2 linked regions of the Schizosaccharomyces pombe genome follow. The gene in region 1 interacts genetically with each later gene. Each region holds a gene or a part of one and is shown on either strand. Other genes may lie near its edges.

What was found. Genes that interact genetically often act in the same process or in processes that back each other up.
Region 2: mutations in pus1 (region 1) and rhp23 are lethal when combined (synthetic lethality), as found in Schizosaccharomyces pombe (one study listed by BioGRID).

The regions. Positions count from the first base shown.
Region 1 is NC_003421.2:2,119,092-2,126,454, forward strand, and holds pus1 (tRNA/U2 snRNA pseudouridine synthase Lsp1), read left to right. Parts: upstream 1-1,523; 5' UTR 1,524-1,573; coding exon 1,574-2,650; intron 2,651-2,715; coding exon 2,716-3,071; intron 3,072-3,110; coding exon 3,111-3,282; 3' UTR 3,283-3,539; downstream 3,540-7,363. Other genes in the region: Ku domain protein Pku70 , read right to left, coding at 47-229, 295-327; SAGA complex deubiquitinating submodule subunit Sgf73, read right to left, coding at 3,660-4,111, 4,183-4,765; mrpl17 (mitochondrial 54S ribosomal protein mL46), read right to left, coding at 5,454-5,609, 5,677-5,775, 5,924-6,357, 6,452-6,569; twf1 (twinfilin), read left to right, coding at 6,859-6,883, 6,922-6,999, 7,063-7,363. UniProt on the Schizosaccharomyces pombe protein: Formation of pseudouridine at positions 27 and 28 in the anticodon stem and loop of transfer RNAs; at positions 34 and 36 of intron-containing precursor tRNA(Ile) and at position 35 in the intron-containing tRNA(Tyr).
Region 2 is NC_003423.3:2,983,415-2,989,404, forward strand, and holds rhp23 (UV excision repair protein rhp23), read left to right. Parts: upstream 1-3,514; 5' UTR 3,515-3,549; coding exon 3,550-3,618; intron 3,619-3,654; exon of another isoform or gene 3,655-3,658; coding exon 3,659-3,731; exon of another isoform or gene 3,732-3,772; coding exon 3,773-4,614; exon of another isoform or gene 4,615-4,661; coding exon 4,662-4,730; exon of another isoform or gene 4,731-4,782; coding exon 4,783-4,836; 3' UTR 4,837-5,075; downstream 5,076-5,990. Other genes in the region: fib1 (fibrillarin, rRNA and histone methyltransferase), read right to left, coding at 1-267; nucleosome assembly protein Nap2, read right to left, coding at 1,295-2,434; telomerase regulator Est1, read left to right, coding at 5,260-5,511, 5,553-5,990. UniProt on the Schizosaccharomyces pombe protein: Involved in postreplication repair of UV-damaged DNA. Postreplication repair functions in gap-filling of a daughter strand on replication of damaged DNA.

The DNA.
Region 1 (7,363 bases):
TGGCAGAAGTAAACGTCGGTGAATTTAAATGCAGCATTAAACTTACAGTACCATAGAGCAATACACCCATTATGTCGCTGGGATTTGTGATTACTCTTTGAGCCGCCAGCTGGTACGCACAAATAAGTGCCATCTGCAAAGAGCTGGGAGTAAATTCATCGACAGGATCAAGCATACTGGGAGAAACTTCAATCACAAATAAAATGGCATATTTTCCAATTGCAAAATTCTTTAAACAATCGTCAGCATAATAATTTCAAAACACCTGCGTCTACCAGTCCATATTGGTCATACTTCTGTCTCATCTATTTGTTCATCGTTTTCCATGTAAAAAACAGATTATCAAAAACAATTTCCTTGGCTTTTTAAATACGACAAAAAGAAAAAAGAAGCACGCGTAATTATAAAAACGCTGATATTTTATGTAAACCGTCCGATGATAACGGCTAAAGCACACGAATGAAATAACTATTTCATTAGTATCTTAAATGTCAAATAATTTAATATATTGATATACCAATATGAGTTATTAAGCACCAATTCCAATATTTGAGAAAAATAATAAAATGCACAATGGTGTCAACATTCTAGTGGGTGTTTTACACGCACTGTGATTGTTGCGAATACGTTAAATTTAAAGAGCTCAAGTAAAGCCGTCGTAAGTTGCAACTAATATTAGTTCGTTATAGTTCATTTGTGTCGGCTACGCAGTTTGGTATCTGATTTAAAGATACGTAGAACTGCGGTGAGTTTTCCTTGTGATCTATTATATTACAATACACAGGTTGTATAAGTAGCAACTGAGTATAGGTATTGTATTAACTGGGTTATAATGTTACCTATCACTAATATAGCTCATAACTGAACTGAGGAACGAGGTTCAGCAGTAGCTCTATTTATAGTATTCAGATAATATACATATTAATAGATTTTAATTAAGATCAATATCAATATCGTATCATACATGGTACGATATATAATTAGAACATGTGACATATAGTGAAACGCAACGTAATATATCATAGCTTAGTGTAGTATTGCTGACAATTTGCGGTTTTGTTCGTAACGTGTGGAAGAAAAAAATAAAAAATGAGGTTTATGAACGATGAAAAGGACTAGATTTTTGATATAAAATTGATAATAGGTATACTTTTCTTAGTTATTGGAAGGATTAGTCACGGGTTTCAATTTGGCCTTTACTTCGACAACTGGTAACAAAAGATAAAACACAGAGACAGAGAATAAGCAACAATTAATAGTCAGTCTTAAGTCATTCCTTTTTCAGGCTGATTATTTTTTTTTGGTTTGAATGCTTCATCAATCTGTTTTTGCTCGAAATGCGATACAATATTTAGCTTTTTAATTCTTAAAACTTTTAACTTAAGGTAAGCGAAGTATATTGTTTTATAATTGTTTAGTGAACCATCGTGTAATTATACTCTTATCTTATTGAATGAATAACGATTCCTTGCATTTCATTATTAAGAAAATATACTCTACTATGTTTAAATGAATTTTTACCTGTGCAGCGTAAATTGCGTTTTCATCAAAAACAAATAATATTAACTACAGCATGGGACGTGGTGGTAAACGCACTTGGTACAATGGTGATCGTCGAGAAGCGAAAAGGAACCGACCTAATTCTATATACAATGGAGAAGGTCGGCCAGAGAATTTGGTAGTTGGAGAAAAAAAGCCGAAAAGAAAGGTCGCCTGTCTTGTAGGTTATTGTGGTAGCGGATATCATGGTATGCAATTGAATCCTCCTAGTAAAACAATCGAAGGAGATCTTTTTGATGCTTTTGTGAAGGCTGGTGCCGTTTCTTCTTATAACGCTGATGACCCAAAGAAAGTTGCTTTAGCAAGAGCCGCAAGAACTGATAAAGGAGTTCATGCCGCTGGAAATGTTATCAGTCTCAAACTTATAATGGAAGATGAGAAGTTAATTGAAAAAGTGAACGAACACCTCCCTCCTTCCATTCGCTTATGGGATGTGATCCGTACTATTAATTCTTTTAACCCAAGGACTTATTGCGAATCTCGTATATATGAATATATGGTTCCAACGTATGCTTTTGTTCCACCGAAACCTTCGTCCATACTTGGAAATTGCATTATGAAGAATTCTCCCATGCCTGCTGAGCCAATTAACAAGGAAAATATAAATCAACTCAGTCGTTCATTATTTTATGAAGAAGGAAAGGAATTTTGGGATGATTATGATATTGCAGCCAAAGAGATTTTGAGCCTTTATGAACAGGATCCTGAAGGCTTCGTAAATCCATATTCTAAAAGGGGAGCTGCTGCTCTTGCTAATTCGGAAAATAATAAGGGCTCTGAAGCAGGAGTTTCCGCTAAAACTAATCCAGATATGGATTCCGATTCCTCTGCTATTGTAAACGAGTTTTTAAAGCCTGACTCTGTTGAAGACGAATCTGCTGGTTCCAAGATTGATCCCAGTTATCGTCTCGAACGTGCACTTAAGCACATTGAAGTACTTAAATTAAAAAATTACCGTATTTCCGCAGATAGGCTGTCCGTTATTCGAGAAACTTTAAACCAATATGTTGGAGTTCATAACTTTCACAATTTTACTGTGGGGCAAGCATTTCATCAGAAGAATAGTAATCGCGTGATCCGTTCTTTTACTGTAAGTAAGAATTATCTTCTTTGTATTTATAGTATTCTTGACAAGTCTTGTTTCTAACATTCTAGGCATCTGATCCATTCATGATTGGCGATACAGAATGGATTTCATGTAAAGTTCATGGTCAATCTTTTATGTTGCACCAAATTAGAAAGATGATTGCGCTTGCTATTTTAGTTGTACGAACGGGTTGTCCTGTTGAGCGCATACAAGATGCCTTTAAAAAAACAAAAATTAACATACCCAAGGGACCTGGTTTTGGACTTTTATTAGAGTCACCGTTTTTTAAAGGTTATAATGAACATAAAGCTCCAGAGAATAATCGTGATCCTATCGACTTTACAAAGTACGAGCAAAAAATTACTGCTTTTAAGCATGCTCATATTTATGATAAAATTTTTCTCGAAGAAGCTCGTAAACAAGTGTAAGTATATTTTTTTCTTAAATTAACTAACCGGTTTAGATTTCATTGTTTTTTGTCTTTTATTGACAGTTATAATGAAGAAGATTTCAGTTATTTATCAGATATAGGCATTACTGAAAAGACGCAAGAGGTTTCCTCAAAATTGCCTGATGTTCTTTCTAGCGATGAAGAAGAAGATTCGGCTGAAAACAAGGATGATTTAGAGGGCTAAAGGATTGATTGTGAGACTGAGGATTTGCAACAAACTGATACCATAAACTTTGCTGTTTCTTTTAAAAAATTAGACTACAAACGTGTACATATATTTTTGGAGAATACTTGTTTCTTTCTTTTTTTTAGAATTGATTATTGGTTTTGGGTTCTATTGGTATTTTTATAGTTTATTAACTTCTACTTGATTATTCCAAATGTTAAGACCGTATGGTGCAATATACAAAATAAAAAATGAAAAAATTAATGAAATAGAAACTAGATGAACGGAGGAGAAAATTAAAAAGTCGAAAATGCGTGGTCAAGTAGACCAAAATGTAAACTATAATCTCATAAAGAATTTAAATCATCAACCGAAGCAAAATCAAAAGAATTTCTTTATAGTGGTTGGCGGGCACTAAAAGGAATCACTCGTCCCAATATAGTACCAGTAACTTGCATACCCTGCTCACCATGTCGAAATGCAGCAGCTATTAACTCTCTAGTACGAAAATACGAATGGCGACGTTTTACGGGTAAAAAAACTTTTTGCTCCAAAGGCTGATTGCCAGATTTCTGGAGAACATTCATAATGAAACTGACTTCTTCATCAGAATCAACAGGCGCTTGATGCTGATTATCTTCGGATTCTTTTGCAGTTTCGAGGATTTGTCGTTGTATTTTTACTTGGTTTTTCTTTTGACAAGCTGCAAGCAAAACATCGTATGGCTGAGATCTTCCCGGAACGGCTCGTTTGCTTGACATTGAATGCGTTTTACATGTGAGAGATCTGGCGCACATTTGCCCATTAGGAAGCAAAACACCGCATTGCTTTTCAACATCCACAGGACCTTAATTGAATGTTAGTATTAAAGTAAACAGGTACTCCATTCTCCATATTGAACAGCATAAACCAACATACCTTTGACCTTTGGATTCTTCTTCTTGCTAGCCTCTTTCTTGGGAAGGGCGGATTTTGTAGGCTTTTTGTTTTCTTCTGTCTTCCGACGTTTTGGAGGCATTTCAGGATTCTTTTGACCATTAACTGAATTCTTTTCATGATTCCCAGCTGAGCCCTTAGCTGTCGATTTAACACCATTTTTGATGGGTGCATTATTGCCATTGTTGACATCTTTGTTTAAAACCTGAGAATTCGCAACAGGCTCAAATTGAGGCTTAGGAGGTTTAATTCCATTGCATGAGCTATGATGGTCCTCAATATACTCTGATAGGAAGGGTCGGTCGCATTTTGTGCATACAACATAATCGAGTTCTGAATTGTTAGGATATGACCCATACTGAGGAAAGGAATCAGCAGGTAGTAAAATTTGAGTTTGATTCGTAATGTTAGAAGTTATTTCATCCTTTACCTGTGATTCTGTATTATCAACTCTTTGATCAGCGAGTACATCTTTGGGTAACCCATCCGGGTATTTCAACAAAACTTGCTCATTTCTTTCCCAATTTTCTGGAAATAACTCCAAAGTCTGTTGTTCTGTTAACATTTTATTGATAAGAACCGAGTTTATAAACAGAATTCTACAAAGTTGCCCTTTGTCAATTCCTTTGTAGTGGGACTAAATCTGTAAGTCAAGTGTATGTACGGTTTAATGCTTCCAGAAAGCAAAGTCTATAATTGCATTCTAATGAACTTTCAAAGGATTATGCTGACACATATCATTTCTGATAATTACTAAATTATACAGACATTGTCTTTAAGGGCTAGACTATGACTGACAAAAGAATTTTTGATCTTGGAATTGAGGACAAACTACGGATATCAATTTTGATTAACAATTCTATTTTTTTAGGTCCCTTGAGCTAAACATAGTTTATTATTAAGGTGCGCGCTTTTCCCGTTTTCTCGTACACTGCCAAGAATCCACAGATCATGAGGGTGAGTAATCATGAAATCCGGACTCCAAAAGTAGGCGGCTGAAAATAAAATACTGGCAGAATCATTTGCAAATAAAAAGATAGAATAAATAAGGAGAAATACTTAGTGAAATTCCAAAATTATTTGTTTTTTTTTACATCGTACCAAAACATCAAAAATTAAGGAGAGAAAAAAATAGAAAACGTGAAAATTAAGCTGAAAAATGCAGTAAGATTGTAGAAAGATTGAATTTCCAAGATGAAATGTTCCGCTGTTTATTTTCCGTAGATTTTACATATTGTTTGCTCAATTGAAGATTACAAACGATCGGAAAGTATGTTTTTTACAGAATCCCATGAAGAAGGAGAAAGTTTGTTTTTCAGTTCATCGTACGTACACCAAACCCAGTCATAAACGTTTTGCAGGTTAGGTACATCTAATCCATTTAATAAACGAGCACGTAACAAGAAGGTCTAGAAATAACTGGTTAAACAAAAAATCAACCCAGATAAAATGAGAACAAAAAATCCGTAGTCTTACCTTTTCTTGTTCCGTTTTTAGTAATGCTAATGGATGACGTGCAACTAGCCAAGTCAACGAATTTTCGTCTAATATATTTTTTAAAAGATCTTGACATAACTACAGTTTGTTAGAAAGGCCAATCTGCAGACTATGTAAACAAAAATTGCAAGAGTATTTGATAAATTATTTAGCATCAAATCAATAGTAAGTAGTCTCTTGCACTATATTGTGTATCTTGGAATCGAATTTTAAAAAATGTACTTACCAGATGCAGCGCCTTCTCGGAGCTTGTAACAGGAGTGTTAGGAAATTGCCAACCCGAGCTTTTAGATTTTTTTACCAACAAGTAAAGGGACTTGTCAAGCGAGCGAAGAGTGCTTCGCTCATCGTTTTTCGTATCAGCTTCTGTGACTCTGGATTGCAAGTGAGTTGCAGAATCCAATAATTTGTTAGACTCCATCTCTTTCCTTTCCTTTCCAAATATCGTCTCAAAGGGTGATTCTTTACCTTTTAGTGTTTTTTGTCGTTCTTGCCAATCTTTTTCACCCACCGATCCCTTCTTGAAATAAAATTCTGCAGGTAAAGGATCACTCAGCTCATTCCAAAGTTCCGCATTATATTTATATATAGATTTTTCGAATTCGGATGGTTGGCGAGTAAGAATTGGCGATCTAATTAAAATTGTACCCACTGAACAACCTAAGATATGTTAGCAATCATGTACATCAAAGGTAATTTTTTTATTTATATTTAATATCCCTAGATAATTCATTTTCATTTTTTAATTCTGTACCTTTTAGAGGAGTCGAGTTAGACAAGGGTTTAGAGGATTGAATGGAATTTCGTACAGAAATGTGAAATTGACGCGAAAAAGACCTCTGCATATTTATAATATTTCTCTTCAAGTACATTGTTTAAACTTAGTCAATTTACGCCAAGTAAATCTCCAAATTTCGGCTTTGTTTACTAATCCGGTAAAGACCACTTGGTAAAGGCAATCGACGTTTCGCTATGGCTAGCACTACCACCTGTTTTACCAGCGTACATTACACGCTTCGTTAAGTACTGTAATATTTCTTAGAGACTCTGTTGCTATCGTTAATATGTTTTAATAGATTTCTTTGGATTTCGTTATAATTCAATTTAACTCACTTAGAATGGGGAATTGCTGACGCAGTAAACCTTTCAATCCCCATAACAATGTCTGCTTCCGTCGAATTAAAACGTAAGAAATTTGGCTAAATTCTTCTAACGTGTGGATAGCTACAGAGAAGTTCAGTAAATTTCTCGAGGAGTACTCTTCGGTACCGGTTCGCGCCGCCATTATTAGCATTTCTAATGGTAAGTTTCCATTCGGGCTAGAAGAGTAAATTTTAAGTTAGTTGAAGTTACTAAATGATTTAGAGAATTCATTTGACGTGAAAACAATGGTTGAAAAATCAGAATCGATAGAATCTGATTTTAAGAAAGTCCGTGAATGTTTGCTCGGATCTGAAGAACCTGCATTTGTCCTCGTTTATGATGATAGCAAGAAAAATCTATTACAATTAATTTCCTATGTCCCTGAAAATGCGAATGTTCGCAGGAAGATGTTATATGCCTCTAGTCGTGCTGCATTTGTAAGATGCGTAACTCTTGCTAAACTCGACGAGTCTTATTTCGCAAGTACTCCGGAAGAGTTAGATTATCAGCAAATTATGAAGAG
Region 2 (5,990 bases), on another chromosome or scaffold:
TTTTCCGCGAGCAATGAAGACACCTGCATGACGATGAGGCTCAATAATAACTTTAGCACCTCCTTTGGCTCCACCACGGCCACCGCTAGAACCACCGCGGCCTCCTCTGGCACCTCCACGACCGCCACGACCGCCACGAGCACCACCGCGTCCTCCTCCTCTGGCACCTCCACGGCCACCGCCGAAACCACCACGGCCACCATTGAAACCACCACGGCCTCCTCTAGAGCCACCTCGTCCACCTCTTGAACCTGGTGTATATGCCATTATTTTTTTTTGTGGTAGGTAATGGGTCTGTAAAATTTTTAGGATAGCAGAGAGGATTACAGTTGGTGTGACTACGAACACAATTCTGCAACGCTAAAAATTTTTACGAGTTCGAAACAATCTGTAAAACCTCTAGTTAACGAAGGTAAACAACGCTAAAGCTAACTTAATGACATTAGTAGCATCGCAGTGTTATTATTTGCAGCTCATAACTTCTCATTAGTAAGGTAAACATATGTAGCAAAAGATGGGTTCCTGCTGTTTGAAAAGCAATTGTTTTAGGTCTCAGCAACAAATTAGAGGTATTCAATATAATTCTTTTGAAAGATTGGTGAAGAGAATGAATAGACATCTCTACTTGTGTTCATATAATAATTACGTTTTGACAATCGAAGTAACTAAACTTAGAGTTACAAGAGGTAGTGATTTATTGTCAGAACCGTTATTAGTTGTAGTTCTTCCAACCTAGTACTAGTTCTTATACCTTATCATATAAACTCGGTGTGAGCTAACAATGCACTTAAAGATTGTTAATTAATGTACGAACAGATCTAGCTTTGACGTATAAAATAAATAGAAAAAGCTATTGCAGATAGTTATAGTAATAGCCGCTTACTTTTTGCTGGCTGTCCGCATTATCATTTTAGAAAAGCAAATGCTAATAAATAACACCACAGCTTCAAATAATGCGCGTACTAACCTAATACTAGCTATTAAAAAAGGAACCATGTAAGTAGAATATACTCACAGAATGATAAAAAATTACTTAGTATATTTTTTATACCTGCATTGGAAAAAAAAATTCAAAATTTAAAAAGACAAGAAAACAAATTGAAATTTTAAAGACAAATCCTAACTTAGATCCGCTTATTAAATATTTTATAGGATACTACGACGTAAATCAACATTTTAATTTTTTAAGCCACAATAAACTTACCAAACTATAAGCGAAATTATCATTCAGCGTCAATTTCTCATTTTTGCTCACATTGAACTTACTCATAATCTAACGAACACAATATAAATATCAATCACTAATTTCGCTACTCAAAATTTCTTCGTCATCTGAAGACAGATCCTCCTCATCAGTATATGCGTCTTCAGAGTCTTCTTCATCCATTTGGTTAAAATCGCTCAAGTCACCTTCTTCTAAGAAACAGTCAATTGCCAAGGGTATGATTTGATCTTTAAAGACTTCTCCCAATTGATAGTCGAGTTCTAAAAGCTCTGTTTTGTCATCCAAACCATCATCAGATTCATCATCGTCCAACTGAGGAGGTGAGAAAAAGTTGAAAAAACTGTCATTAGGGACCGTAGTACGGACCAATCTAGTTTGATTTGTTTTACGGTTACGTTGTTTTTTTGTCTCCACTCTAACCGTTAAATTTTTTTCAGGCTTGATCCAATTAATCTTATCACCCTCAGCATGATCATACAAAAACTCACCCGAAGGACTTAAATCATCTTTATAGTAATAAGTTTTCGTTAAAATCTTGTTTGTAAAGTAATCATTTGAGTCAAATTCGAATTCTAGTTTGTAACCATGAACATCTCCCGAAAGGTTGGTAAAACGAATGTCGCTGAGTGATCGCAAGACATTTTCATCTTCTGGTGTTATCATTTCGCCAACCAAGAAAACATTATGAAGACAAGTCAGCCAAAATTCGGGAATTCCCTTAGGATCTGGAAGATTATTTTGAAATATTTCTTCCTCGTGATCTAATTCGTCGTCCACTGGTTCAGAAACACCCTTGATAATTTCGGCTCTTCTAGAGAAAATAGGTTGATATTTTTTCTCGTATTTTGTTTCCAGATCTAACATTTTTTGACGAAATTCATATTGAATTGCATCACAATCTTTTTGAAGGCCTTTCAATGCTGTAATACGATTTTGGACTGCTGGCGCAAGGCTCTCTATATATCCCGACGACTTTCCAACCAACGAGCTAAGGCGTCCCTCAATCATTGATAACATGGCCGGATTGTTGCGCAATAACCCGCTAACTTCATCATGTGCTGATTTGTCCTCCAGTTGTGATTGCAAGGTTTGTCTAGCTTTTTCTAATGCGGCCTTACTAAGATGTACATCTGAAGATGGAGTATTTTGTGGCGTTTGAGCAGCAAACCCATTCCAAGACTTCTTAAAATCTCCTGGACCTTTAGACATATTTTAATAATGCAAACGGAGATTAAATTAAATTGGTAAAGCTTCGTTGTTGGACTGTGGATCTTCGTGAAGTCTACCAAAGAGATGTTGGGCCTGACTCGTTATTGCAGCTTAGCATATTTTAATGATATGTTTACAGCATTTTTCGTATGAGAGTCTTTAATGAAATATATTTATGTGTTTAGCGGCTATCATAGTTTGGGATAGTATTTGGGGTTTTATTTGGAAGAATATGTAAAATTAGAAAGCATCCGGAAGTTTACATATACGTTGACTTTTTTCTCTCCGCTTTCCTTATACTTTCTCTGACAAAGGTAATGGATTGTATAAACCAAAGGCGCTGCTTTCAAATTCTGATGTAGCTGTCCAAATAGCTAAAAAAAAAATCAATGAAATAAACAAATGTATATATCTCGTTTAAGCAAAGTGTCTACGCTATTCATATTAGTTTAACATATGTATCGTATCCCAATTATTAGTTGAAAATTCTATAAAAAATATATATATATGGATACTGATTAATAAACAACTCTACGTATCATATACTTCTATATTCATGAGTTAAACAACCTTATTGTAGCATTTGTTTACTAGTTAGTTGCCCACGGAGGAGCGAAAAACTATCGGAACATAATTCAAAAGTCAAACTTGTAAATAAAAATCTGCTATTGTAACGGTCATTGCTAACTTAAATAAACAAATCATAATTAATATATATAAATTTATTAGCGATCGTTCTGTAAATAAATAGAAAATGAGAATGAATAATCCAACAGAAAAATATATATATATATAGTAAATTAAAGAATAAAGAATAAACTAATACACTGTATTGAGTACTAATGGACTTGGAAACGAGGTAAATGTTTCACTCACAACACTTTCAAACAAATGAAATATTTTCTTACATTAAATTTTAGGTTCAAATAAACCAAACTGTTTTGCTTTTTAGATTTTTCATTCACATTTTATGATAAACAATGCGATGATACCAAATAATGTTACTTGTGTATGGTGTTTGTTTGCTACCTTGACAATTATTCTCTGATGCAACGTTTTTTCAAAGAGGTTTTCATTACTATACATTTACCCACTACGCCAAATTTGCTTTGAAAATGAATTTGACATTCAAAAATCTACAGCAGCAGAAATTTGTTATTTCTGATGTTTCTGCAGATACCAAAGTATGATAATTGTGGCATATTATTTTTCTAACGTAAACAGATTTCAGAATTAAAAGAAAAAATTCAAACGCAACAGAATTATGAAGTCGAACGTCAAAAGTTAATTTACTCAGGTATATAACATAATTTTAATATGTAAAATACTAATTTATAGGTCGAATCCTTGCTGATGACAAAACTGTTGGCGAATACAATATAAAAGAACAGGATTTCATTGTATGCATGGTTTCACGACCCAAAACTTCCACCTCTACTCCGAAATCAGCTGCCAGTCCTGCCCCCAATCCTCCGGCTTCCGTACCTGAAAAGAAAGTTGAAGCTCCTTCTTCTACCGTGGCGGAATCTACCTCTACTACACAAACTGTTGCTGCTGCTGCCCCTTCAAACCCAGATACTACTGCCACTAGTGAAGCACCAATAGACGCCAACACATTGGCAGTTGGTGCTCAACGAAATGTTGCTGTCGAAAATATGGTAGAAATGGGATACGAACGCAGCGAAGTTGAAAGAGCCATGCGTGCCGCTTTTAACAACCCTGATCGGGCAGTGGAATACTTATTAACTGGTATTCCCGAAGACATTCTCAATCGACAGAGAGAAGAGAGTGCTGCAGCCCTTGCTGCTCAGCAACAGCAAAGCGAAGCCCTTGCTCCTACTTCCACTGGCCAGCCAGCGAATCTTTTTGAACAAGCTGCTTTATCAGAAAATGAAAATCAAGAACAACCTTCTAATACCGTTGGTGATGACCCTCTAGGCTTCCTTCGTAGCATTCCTCAATTTCAACAGCTAAGACAAATTGTTCAACAAAATCCACAGATGTTGGAAACTATATTGCAACAAATTGGGCAGGGAGATCCTGCATTGGCTCAAGCTATTACGCAAAATCCTGAAGCATTTTTGCAATTATTGGCGGAGGGTGCCGAAGGCGAGTCTGCCTTACCTTCTGGTGGAATTCAGATTCAAATTACTCAAGAAGAATCTGAGAGTATTGATAGAGTATGTTATTTCTATTTTTTTGTTTTAACTATCTAACAAGCTTTTAGTTATGTCAACTTGGCTTCGACAGAAACATTGTAATTCAGGCTTATTTAGCTTGTGATAAAAATGAAGAGGTGTGTTTTTTTTTTTTTTTTGATTTATTGAATTATCAACTAACAATTGTAGCTTGCTGCTAATTACCTTTTCGAGCATGGACATGAATCTGAGGATGAACCTTAAAGCGCGCACCTTATAAATTATTGCTTTTCGCTTGAAAAACGCCTAAATGGCAACTAATTCAGCTCTTTATTGCTAGCATTTAGTTAAGGATACGGAATATTAAACAAAACAATGATATTTTTGTAATTGTTGAGTACAGGGTTGCTCCGAGCACAGCACATAAGTTGTTTTCAATCATTTGTCGTACATGTAAATATTATATATATACATATATATATTTTTTTTCCCTACTATTTTATTTGATAGAACCATATTTTTCTTTCTCTAATACTGAATTGTCATTACGCTTAGGGTTTTTGCATAAGATATCAAGTAGGAAGAAGTCAAGTGACTTAAGTGGTCTAATTTCCACGCTCAACGCTGCAGAAATACGTTTTTGATAATTTTTTATATTTTTCTTAAAATGTGACGATATTATAATTAATGTCGCAACAACTTTCAAGTAATGAAATTTGTGAAGAGCAGGGAAAGCTCGTCAAAGCGCTGTGTGAAGCAGCTCAAGGAGGTTTTAAGCATGATTTATATGAGAAAATTATAGCAATTGAAATTGAAGTTGAGAAGAAACTGTTAAATCGTCTAAAAAGTATTCAAACAAATACTTTTGAACGTCCAGATATTATATGGTCATGTTGCCATTATAAAATTATTCAACATTTTAGAAGTAGGTTTAGAGAGGTGAGTAAAAACTAAAGTATGGGACAATTATTAATTTTAAGATACATCCTCGACACGTTGTTGAAAAAAAAAAGACAAAAAAGGTTTTCTTTAAATTCTTGAAAACGTGTGCAATCTTTTACCAGACTTGCATAAGTGAACTAATATCTAAGTTCCAATTGGATTCATACAGACCGTTTTTTTGTAAATGGACATCATCAGCTACTGTTTCTTCGACTATTTCAAACGATGAAATGTCATCAATTCCTGAAGCTTCGTATTCAAGGAACCATATGGAGGCATTAGAATGCGTGTATAATTGTTTTATATATTTAGGGGATATGGCCAGATATTCTTCTACTTGCCTCAAAAAACGCGGCGCATATGATAGAGCTTTAGGGTTTTATGATTTGGCTCATCGAACATTACCCGGAAACGGAATGCATAGGAATCAAATTGCTGTTGTCTGGGCATCCGATGAATGTATAGTGGAGTCTATT